Linked DNA regions of Saccharomyces cerevisiae S288C. The protein of the gene in region 3 interacts with the protein of the main gene of each other region in a biochemical or structural test. Each region holds a gene or a part of one and is shown on either strand. Other genes may lie near its edges.

Evidence for each region. The genes of interacting proteins can lie anywhere in the genome.
Region 1: of the proteins of TPK1 (region 3) and NTH1, one has a biochemical effect on the other in vitro, tested with the Saccharomyces cerevisiae proteins (6 studies listed by BioGRID, with this or other methods).
Region 2: of the proteins of TPK1 (region 3) and CDC19, one has a biochemical effect on the other in vitro, tested with the Saccharomyces cerevisiae proteins (4 studies listed by BioGRID, with this or other methods).

Annotation. Positions count from the first base shown.
Region 1 is NC_001136.10:449,720-454,085, reverse strand, and holds NTH1 (alpha,alpha-trehalase NTH1), read left to right. Parts: upstream 1-1,610; coding exon 1,611-3,866; downstream 3,867-4,366. Other genes in the region: Ran GTPase-binding protein YRB1, read right to left, coding at 436-1,041. UniProt on the Saccharomyces cerevisiae protein: Hydrolyzes intracellular trehalose to glucose. The disaccharide trehalose serves as a storage carbohydrate that is mobilized during nutrient stress. Regulates the level of trehalose as a protectant for cell integrity during heat stress.
Region 2 is NC_001133.9:70,001-73,788, forward strand, and holds CDC19 (pyruvate kinase CDC19), read left to right. Parts: upstream 1-1,785; coding exon 1,786-3,288; downstream 3,289-3,788. Other genes in the region: YAL037C-A (uncharacterized protein), read right to left, coding at 3,426-3,518.
Region 3 is NC_001142.9:109,466-112,932, forward strand, and holds TPK1 (cAMP-dependent protein kinase catalytic subunit TPK1), read right to left. Parts: upstream 1,695-3,467; coding exon 501-1,694; downstream 1-500. Other genes in the region: YJL163C (uncharacterized protein), read right to left, coding at 2,201-3,467.

The DNA.
Region 1 (4,366 bases), on a different chromosome or scaffold from region 3:
CAGCTTTCTAGCGAGCTAAGGAATGTATTCCAAATTTACTGCTCCTTTATTACGTCAAAAATTTCTATAGTATTCGATTCTCATTAGTAATTATAAAGGAGTAGCGAGAAAAACAAAAATAAAAGGGCGGAAACATAAAGATGGTAAATAAGACAGAGAATATTACCCGGAAACATACTACGAGATTATTGAGCTAATCTCCATGCACCAAAGTGGTTAGACATTTGGCTACATTGACTACTGCAACAATTACTTGAACCCTCTAATCCTTCTTACATATCTATTCATATGTGATTTCACAATGCTACATAAGCGTTTTTTATATAATTAAAGAGCAACTTTTCCTCACAGTAGATAAAAATATATATGCACGCTGTAAAGGAAAATTACATTAGGAACAAAAAAATCTAGACGCAAGTAACAAGCACATCGAAACTAAGCCTTTTTGTTGATTTCTTGAGCTTTTTCAAATTCTTCTTTAAATTTATCAGCATTTTCCTTACTGCCAAATCTGATAGCAAAAGTGAAGGCTTCTGCTTCACCTTCTGCAATATCTGCTGTACAAGCATACACCCAAGATCTATCAGAACCAACGTTAGGCTTCAAAGTGTATTCTGGAGCAATGATGTGGTTAGCACAAATCTTTAAGGTCTTGTCTCTTCTCATCAATATTCTAACCTTGTTAGTCTTTTTGTTCTTCAAGAACTTACAGTCACCAGTACCTCTTTCTTTCCATTCCTTGGCATCGGCATCGAATCTGAAAAGCTTGGCTCTGACCTTGTAAAGAACTTCTTCGTCTTCTTCCATTGTCTTAACATCTACCTTTTCCAGGTGAACCACTGGTTCAAAATGGATATCTGGTGATTCTGGAGCATCATCACCTTCCTTCTTGGTTTCCTCCTTGGTATCTTCTTCGTCTTTCTTGGTTTCTGGCTTTTCGGCCTTCTTACCACCAAACATGGAGAAGACAGCAGAGGATGGTGGCTTTGGAGCAGCCTCTTCCTTCTTGTCGACGACAGGTTTCTTATCTTCGCTAGACATTCTTTTTCTATAGTTGTGTTTATCTTCTTGCTTTTATTTCAAATTAAACAAGATCTTTCTTCTTTCTCCAATTGAATATCAATTTCATCATCAGATTTTAGTTTCTGTTTTATTTTTTATTTTTTTATTTTTTTTTTGTTTCTTGTTTTCCGCGTACTTCCCGCTGGGCGAAAAAAGAAATGAAAAAAAGAAACGACAGGAGCATCGTGTAGGACGAAGCCCCTTATCCCCTAGTTACCGAAGAAGGCCACCAATCTTAAGTTTGATAGAGCAGTACTTATATAAGGCTATATATAGACTGGTTCACAAGGTTATCAATATGAAACTTGCGCGATCACCGATTTACGGGATTTTTCAGGAGCGAGGTACAAGATTTGTTGGCCTGAAAAGATCGCAAAACATTAGCTAGAAATTTTCCCCCTATCGTTTTCCGTAGAGTAAATATAATATCAAGAAGATAGTTTTATATTGACTGATTTCACAACCAACTGCATAGATATAAGGAGATTACTAGATACAAGAACGCCTGATAAACAAAAAAAGAAAAATTAACAAAAAAAATCAGTAGAATGAGTCAAGTTAATACAAGCCAAGGACCGGTAGCCCAAGGCCGTCAAAGAAGATTATCATCACTAAGTGAATTCAATGATCCATTTTCGAACGCAGAAGTCTACTATGGCCCCCCAACAGACCCAAGAAAGCAGAAGCAGGCAAAGCCCGCTAAGATCAACCGTACGAGGACTATGAGTGTTTTCGATAATGTATCTCCTTTCAAGAAAACTGGTTTTGGTAAACTTCAACAGACTAGACGTGGTTCTGAGGATGACACCTATTCAAGTAGTCAAGGTAATCGTCGTTTCTTTATCGAAGATGTCGATAAAACACTTAATGAACTACTGGCTGCTGAGGATACCGATAAAAATTATCAGATCACCATCGAGGATACCGGTCCAAAAGTTTTGAAAGTCGGTACCGCAAACTCCTATGGCTATAAGCATATTAATATTAGGGGTACGTATATGTTATCCAATTTGTTGCAGGAACTAACTATTGCGAAAAGTTTTGGTAGACACCAAATTTTCTTAGATGAAGCTCGTATAAACGAAAATCCCGTCAACAGATTATCAAGATTGATAAACACACAGTTCTGGAACTCTTTGACCAGGAGAGTTGATCTGAACAACGTAGGCGAAATTGCAAAAGATACCAAGATTGATACGCCGGGGGCAAAAAATCCAAGAATCTATGTTCCTTATGATTGTCCAGAACAATACGAATTTTATGTTCAAGCTTCTCAAATGCATCCATCTTTGAAATTAGAAGTTGAATATTTACCAAAAAAAATAACGGCAGAATACGTCAAATCCGTCAATGATACCCCCGGTTTACTAGCATTGGCTATGGAAGAGCACTTCAATCCTTCTACTGGTGAAAAAACTCTCATTGGTTACCCTTATGCTGTTCCTGGTGGTAGATTCAATGAATTATATGGTTGGGACTCCTATATGATGGCACTAGGTCTCCTAGAAGCCAACAAGACTGATGTTGCAAGAGGTATGGTGGAGCATTTTATTTTTGAGATTAATCACTATGGAAAAATATTGAATGCTAACAGAAGCTACTATCTATGTAGATCACAGCCCCCATTCTTGACTGAAATGGCCTTGGTAGTATTCAAAAAACTTGGTGGTAGGAGTAATCCCGATGCTGTGGATTTGTTGAAAAGAGCTTTCCAAGCAAGCATAAAAGAGTACAAAACTGTTTGGACCGCATCTCCAAGGCTTGATCCCGAAACAGGCTTATCCAGGTACCATCCTAACGGTCTCGGTATTCCTCCGGAAACTGAAAGTGATCACTTCGATACCGTTTTACTACCATATGCATCGAAACACGGCGTTACCTTAGACGAATTTAAGCAACTTTATAACGATGGTAAGATAAAGGAGCCTAAATTGGATGAGTTTTTTCTTCATGACCGTGGCGTTAGAGAATCTGGACACGACACTACATATAGGTTTGAGGGCGTATGTGCCTACCTGGCCACTATTGACCTGAATTCTCTTCTTTACAAATACGAGATTGATATTGCAGACTTCATAAAGGAATTCTGCGACGACAAATATGAAGATCCTTTAGACCATTCTATAACAACTTCAGCTATGTGGAAAGAAATGGCCAAAATCAGACAAGAAAAGATTACCAAATATATGTGGGATGACGAGTCGGGGTTTTTCTTTGACTACAACACAAAAATCAAGCACAGAACGTCATACGAATCCGCAACTACATTCTGGGCATTATGGGCTGGACTTGCCACGAAGGAGCAAGCACAGAAAATGGTGGAGAAAGCACTACCCAAGTTAGAGATGCTTGGAGGTTTAGCTGCATGTACGGAGCGTTCTCGAGGCCCAATTTCTATTTCGAGACCAATTAGACAATGGGACTATCCATTTGGTTGGGCACCCCATCAAATTCTTGCTTGGGAAGGCCTCCGTTCTTATGGTTATTTAACTGTAACGAATAGGCTAGCTTATAGATGGCTTTTCATGATGACAAAGGCTTTTGTCGATTATAATGGTATTGTGGTTGAAAAATATGATGTCACAAGAGGAACAGATCCTCATCGTGTTGAAGCAGAATACGGTAATCAAGGTGCTGACTTTAAAGGGGCAGCTACTGAAGGTTTTGGATGGGTCAATGCCAGTTACATTCTTGGTTTGAAGTATATGAACAGTCACGCAAGAAGAGCGCTTGGTGCTTGCATTCCACCAATATCATTCTTTAGCAGTTTAAGGCCTCAAGAAAGAAACCTCTATGGACTATAGTTGAGATAATATATATATATATATATATATACTCCAGGTACAGTCCTCTAGGTACCTAAATCCTCTTTATATGATCTGCCGATAGATAGTTCTAAGTCATTGAGGTTCATCAACAATTGGATTTTCTGTTTACTCGACTTCAGGTAATGAAATGAGATGATACTTGCTTATCTCATAGTTAACTGGCATAAATTTTAGTATAGGTTAACTCTAAGAGGTGATACTTATTTACTGTAAAACTGTGACGATAAAACCGGAAGGAAGAATAAGAAAACTCGAACTGATCTATAATGCCTATTTTCTGTAAAGAGTTTAAGCTATGAAAGCCTCGGCATTTTGGCCGCTCCTAGGTAGTGCTTTTTTTCCAAGGACAAAACAGTTTCTTTTTCTTGAGCAGGTTTTATGTTTCGGTAATCATAAACAATAAATAAATTATTTCATTTATGTTTAAAAATAAAAAATAAAAAAGTATTTTAAATTTTTAAAAAAGTTGATTATAA
Region 2 (3,788 bases), on a different chromosome or scaffold from region 3:
TGTTTTAGGCACTTAGTATTAGATATTCCTAAGCCTCCCTCACCATAAATTACCTTTATTACTTGCATGACTATTATTAGCAGAGCATGTAGTATGGGACTCAAGACCGATATGATACACACCAAAGACGTAGGCACCGGCGATTAAATCAAAGGCTCCGATAGCCGAAAAGTGAGAAGAAAAAAAAAGGAAAAAAAGGAATTGTCCTAATGAGCGGTGTGGCCGACTTGCCATAATATCAGTTAGGGCTACTATCAATGTTTTATCTACGTTGGAGTAAGATCGTTTATCACTTCCATATTTGGACCAAATGAAAAGTTCAATCGGCCAAGTATTTCATGGATGGAATGACGTTTGGTAAGGAAGTGCTTTTTCTTTTTCCACATATTTTCCCTTTCTCTCGGGGAAATTTTGTTTCTAAACATAAAAAATAAAGCAACAGCAAAAAAGAGGGTCTGTCCAGCGAATAAGAAGAAAACCTCCTTTTCGGCTTTTGAAGATAGGTTGCAGTTGTCTGCGGGCACAAAATGGGCAATTTTTTTAATACTTTTTACGTATGAGACAAGATTTTTTTCGCCAATTATATCGCATGAAGAATAACCAGAGTTTTTCTCCGAACGTTAAGGGAGTTGAAGTAAAAATAAAGAAAGGACCAAATGAGAATGGGTATGCTTGGTCTTAGTCTTCGAATCAAATTCTGCTTCCCTGTTCATGGCAACGTCACCTCAATTATTTGGAAAGGGGGGGTTTTCCGACTTTATTTGAGATGACTTGAGATGTGTGTCAATGCTAGTATTTTGGAGATTAATCTCAGTACAAAACAATATTAAAAAGAGGTGAATTATTTTTCCCCCCTTATTTTTTTTTTGTTAGAATTGATCCAAATGTAAATAAACAATCACAAGGAAAAAAAAAAAAAAAAAAAAAATAGCCGCCATGACCCCGGATCGTCGGTTGTGATACGGTCAGGGTAGCGCCCTGGTCAAACTTCAGAACTAAAAAAATAATAAGGAAGAAAAAAATAGCTAATTTTTCCGGCAGAAAGATTTTCGCTACCCGAAAGTTTTTCCGGCAAGCTAAATGGAAAAAGGAAAGATTATTGAAAGAGAAAGAAAGAAAAAAAAAAAATGTACACCCAGACATCGGGCTTCCACAATTTCGGCTCTATTGTTTTCCATCTCTCGCAACGGCGGGATTCCTCTATGGCGTGTGATGTCTGTATCTGTTACTTAATCCAGAAACTGGCACTTGACCCAACTCTGCCACGTGGGTCGTTTTGCCATCGACAGATTGGGAGATTTTCATAGTAGAATTCAGCATGATAGCTACGTAAATGTGTTCCGCACCGTCACAAAGTGTTTTCTACTGTTCTTTCTTCTTTCGTTCATTCAGTTGAGTTGAGTGAGTGCTTTGTTCAATGGATCTTAGCTAAAATGCATATTTTTTCTCTTGGTAAATGAATGCTTGTGATGTCTTCCAAGTGATTTCCTTTCCTTCCCATATGATGCTAGGTACCTTTAGTGTCTTCCTAAAAAAAAAAAAAGGCTCGCCATCAAAACGATATTCGTTGGCTTTTTTTTCTGAATTATAAATACTCTTTGGTAACTTTTCATTTCCAAGAACCTCTTTTTTCCAGTTATATCATGGTCCCCTTTCAAAGTTATTCTCTACTCTTTTTCATATTCATTCTTTTTCATCCTTTGGTTTTTTATTCTTAACTTGTTTATTATTCTCTCTTGTTTCTATTTACAAGACACCAATCAAAACAAATAAAACATCATCACAATGTCTAGATTAGAAAGATTGACCTCATTAAACGTTGTTGCTGGTTCTGACTTGAGAAGAACCTCCATCATTGGTACCATCGGTCCAAAGACCAACAACCCAGAAACCTTGGTTGCTTTGAGAAAGGCTGGTTTGAACATTGTCCGTATGAACTTCTCTCACGGTTCTTACGAATACCACAAGTCTGTCATTGACAACGCCAGAAAGTCCGAAGAATTGTACCCAGGTAGACCATTGGCCATTGCTTTGGACACCAAGGGTCCAGAAATCAGAACTGGTACCACCACCAACGATGTTGACTACCCAATCCCACCAAACCACGAAATGATCTTCACCACCGATGACAAGTACGCTAAGGCTTGTGACGACAAGATCATGTACGTTGACTACAAGAACATCACCAAGGTCATCTCCGCTGGTAGAATCATCTACGTTGATGATGGTGTTTTGTCTTTCCAAGTTTTGGAAGTCGTTGACGACAAGACTTTGAAGGTCAAGGCTTTGAACGCCGGTAAGATCTGTTCCCACAAGGGTGTCAACTTACCAGGTACCGATGTCGATTTGCCAGCTTTGTCTGAAAAGGACAAGGAAGATTTGAGATTCGGTGTCAAGAACGGTGTCCACATGGTCTTCGCTTCTTTCATCAGAACCGCCAACGATGTTTTGACCATCAGAGAAGTCTTGGGTGAACAAGGTAAGGACGTCAAGATCATTGTCAAGATTGAAAACCAACAAGGTGTTAACAACTTCGACGAAATCTTGAAGGTCACTGACGGTGTTATGGTTGCCAGAGGTGACTTGGGTATTGAAATCCCAGCCCCAGAAGTCTTGGCTGTCCAAAAGAAATTGATTGCTAAGTCTAACTTGGCTGGTAAGCCAGTTATCTGTGCTACCCAAATGTTGGAATCCATGACTTACAACCCAAGACCAACCAGAGCTGAAGTTTCCGATGTCGGTAACGCTATCTTGGATGGTGCTGACTGTGTTATGTTGTCTGGTGAAACCGCCAAGGGTAACTACCCAATCAACGCCGTTACCACTATGGCTGAAACCGCTGTCATTGCTGAACAAGCTATCGCTTACTTGCCAAACTACGATGACATGAGAAACTGTACTCCAAAGCCAACCTCCACCACCGAAACCGTCGCTGCCTCCGCTGTCGCTGCTGTTTTCGAACAAAAGGCCAAGGCTATCATTGTCTTGTCCACTTCCGGTACCACCCCAAGATTGGTTTCCAAGTACAGACCAAACTGTCCAATCATCTTGGTTACCAGATGCCCAAGAGCTGCTAGATTCTCTCACTTGTACAGAGGTGTCTTCCCATTCGTTTTCGAAAAGGAACCTGTCTCTGACTGGACTGATGATGTTGAAGCCCGTATCAACTTCGGTATTGAAAAGGCTAAGGAATTCGGTATCTTGAAGAAGGGTGACACTTACGTTTCCATCCAAGGTTTCAAGGCCGGTGCTGGTCACTCCAACACTTTGCAAGTCTCTACCGTTTAAAAAAAGAATCATGATTGAATGAAGATATTATTTTTTTGAATTATATTTTTTAAATTTTATATAAAGACATGGTTTTTCTTTTCAACTCAAATAAAGATTTATAAGTTACTTAAATAACATACATTTTATAAGGTATTCTATAAAAAGAGTATTATGTTATTGTTAACCTTTTTGTCTCCAATTGTCGTCATAACGATGAGGTGTTGCATTTTTGGAAACGAGATTGACATAGAGTCAAAATTTGCTAAATTTGATCCCTCCCATCGCAAGATAATCTTCCCTCAAGGTTATCATGATTATCAGGATGGCGAAAGGATACGCTAAAAATTCAATAAAAAATTCAATATAATTTTCGTTTCCCAAGAACTAACTTGGAAGGTTATACATGGGTACATAAATGCAGATGCCAGTGAACTATGTTCAGCTTCTGGCCTTCGTTTGGTGGTTTAATCTATTTTTTATAAAAAATGACGCGGGCAGATTCAATTAGTGTCCTAAAT
Region 3 (3,467 bases):
TTTATTTTTTCAAAATTTTTTTTTTATTTAGCAAGTTTCTCTATCTCCTTTGTATTCTAAAAGTAAATGGATGGAAAGAATGGATCTTTTCGTAGACTATAATGCTTCCTAAAATATACACGTATAGAATGGAGATTCCGACTTGTTTGGAGCCACCAATTGCCCTTTATTTGGTTTATACCAAGGGGCTCACGTAAAAAAAAAATCGATATGCAAAATCCTTCATTTCATGATGCAAGCTTTCGAAAGTGGCGCGGCGAGCAAAGTAGAAAATCAAAGACAGAAGCGTAGAATAAAAGCCCTTTTAATGGTAGGAATACGCCTCGATAACATCATGTATGCAATCTACAAGAACAGTGAACGCCGTTCCATCTCCGTAGTAACTATACAGGGGTTGAAATTTCGTTTTCGAAGGATAGTTGTTATGTAGAAAAGAGGGAAAAAAATATGAAAAAAAAAAAATATAGATACGAGAGGAAAATACAACAAAACATTAGTCATTAGAAGTCCCGGAAAAGATCAGCATATGGGTCTTCACCTTGAACACCGTAGTTGATGTCTTCTTCCGGGTACTTATCGAACTGTGAGGTGTCACCTTGTCCCTGTTGAATGGGCGGTTCATACGGCGTTTCTATGTTTCTAGATAATAATTTTTCCCAGACAACTTCTTTGAACCAGGGGTGGTTTTTGACATCTTCTGTACCATTTTGTAAATTACCTAGTCTTTGACTTAAGTCTCTTGTGATCAATCTACTCAACAGGTCCTTTACATCTTCGTTGAAAAATGGTGGAAATCTCAATTCGGCATTCAAGATTTTCTCATAGGTTTTCATCGTGTTAGAGTCGTAAAATGGCGTGTATCCTGCTAGCATTTCGTAAATCAGAATACCGAAACTCCACCAATCGATAGATTTATTATATGGTTTAGTACTAACGACCTCGGGTGCTATGTAGTCGGGAGTACCGCATAATGTATATGTGACGTCAGGAACGTATTTGGCAAACCCGAAATCTGTTATCTTTATATGCCCGTTTTTATCAAGCAAGATATTTTCCGGTTTCAAATCCCTATAAATAATGTCCTTGCTATGCAAGTACTCCAAAGCTAAACAAACTTCCGCTGCGTAAAATTTAGCAACTGGGTTGGGAAATCTTTGGGATTTCCTTAACAAAGAAAACAATTCTCCACCTTCAATATAATCCATAATCATGAAAATTTGCTGAGCATCTTGGAAAGTCCCCCACATTCTAATAATAAACGGATGTGTTACGATAGAAAGCATCAATCGCTCGTCGTTGGTATGCTCCACCTGTTTCAATCTTACCACGATTTCCTTTTTCAAAACTTTCATGGCGTAGTATCTGCCATTATGTCTTGATCTAATCAAATGGACCCTACCAAAAGAACCCGTACCCAGTGTCCTTAATATCTGAAAGTCTTGTAAACTATACTTCCCACTTGTAACTCTCGCTTGGGCAATAAACTGTTTATACTGCTCCTCATTGTAATAAGTGACATGTGGCTGCTTCGGTTTTTCTTGGGTTTCTCCACCCTCTTTTTCTACAGACTTACTTTCGTTACCGCTCTCTGTGGCTGTTGTTTCCCTTTCACTAGTCTCACCTTTTTGTGATTCCTCACCTTGTCTATCATCTAGAGACTTTTGACCACCTCCATTTTGTTCTTCAGTCGACATACCCAAAAAAAAGATTCTTTCACACAATCAGCTATAATTCATGCACTGCTTAAGCTAAGAGAACACTACTTTCTGTGCTACCTTTGAAGCCGATTGAAAATGCAAGCAAGCCAAACAAAAAAAAAAGTATAGGGTCAGATTCCTTAGCTTTATCAAATTAAAACTCTTAGATGGATACAATCGCAGCTTCTATGATGTTTCGCACCTAAAAATTCTCACGTTTTTCTGGCCAGAGATAGTAGATGAATATTTTTCAAGTTTTCAAGTAAAGGGATACGATATCCCCCTTGATTATTATGTCAAACTTTTACCAGATCCCGCCTTCCCTCCCCCCTAATAGCGCGAAAAAAAAGATCATCATGATTACGTAGAAAAAACCACAACAACACTATGTTGAATCATGTCATAAGCAAAGTCGTTAGGACACTGGCTTTGCAAGAACGAATAGCAGCACAGCTTCGAACAAGTAACTAAAAATATGTGGTGTATACGGTATGTAAATGTTTTTAAGGCCCGTCCAGCGGAGGGTTCTTGTAAATTCTTAGGAAGAATGTCAACAAGATGGCAACAATACTTGTTGAGAACGGTATATACATAAACAGACTAGGATTAACGGAGACAGTACTTCCATATAGCTTAAGGAGGATGGGAGGGATGACAAGCATAACACAGGACCTTACCAAAGCCATTGCTCCGAACATCTCGCCTGTATGTTTCTTAGAGGTGTACTTTATGATACCAGACTGCAAAGTTGGTGAACAAAACGCGCTCAATGCCTGTAAAAGAGCGAATATTATCATGGATGTGGGAGTTTTCTCGCCAAATCGTATCATGACAAAGAGACTCAGTGTTATAACAATCATAGAAAACTGTATGCAAAAGATGTCTATCTTGTCTATCGAATGGTTCAAGTGTTGATAAATCCTCTTTAGCGTGTACAGTAATGTAGGTGATACGACCAGTAACACAACACCTCTTCCGATACCCAGTATCGATATGAAATAACCTAGCTCTACTGCATGCCATTTGTACTCATATGTAGAAAACAAAATCAATGCTGGCATACACGATGTCGTTCCACAGACAAATAGTATATCGAGTACAATGAGTAATATTACGGTATGCCGGGGTACTAAAGACCCTGCACTGTCGGGCTTCAGCCATAACTTTTTTACTGGAGCGAGCAGGTCCATTAACCTCATTATTTGAAATTTTCCATAAGTAACGGATTGGTAATTTCTTGCATCGTCAGAACCCGATTGTGATCTTAGTTTCTCTCTCCTCTTTGTATAAGTTGATTGTGAATGGGCCATTTGGGTTTCATGGCGCGGTTCCACCATGATTGTCTCACATATTATAAGCGCCAGTATAACAAACGCTATTGATGTGTAAATAGGAATGAACCCGTTTCCATGAGTCCACTTCACCAGAAAGGACCCAAACATTGGGCCTACGCCCATAGTGGCATATATACAACTCATCATTATTCCTATTGTCACCATTCTGTGCTCAGTTTTCACTATATCTGAAACGTAACTATTTCCATTCGCCACTAGCGCAAACAAGCCACCGAATGATGGTACGATACACGCAGTAAGAACAATAGCCCATTTGTGATACTTCATTTTCGATGATAGGGTAAAGACGTGCGTAAGAAGCCCTATGACCCTGATGCCGCTCATGTATTTGAAAACACGCACTCTTCCTATTCTATCGGATAATTCTCCCCACTTACCAGCCATGAAAATACTGATTGCCCCTGCTATCATCATA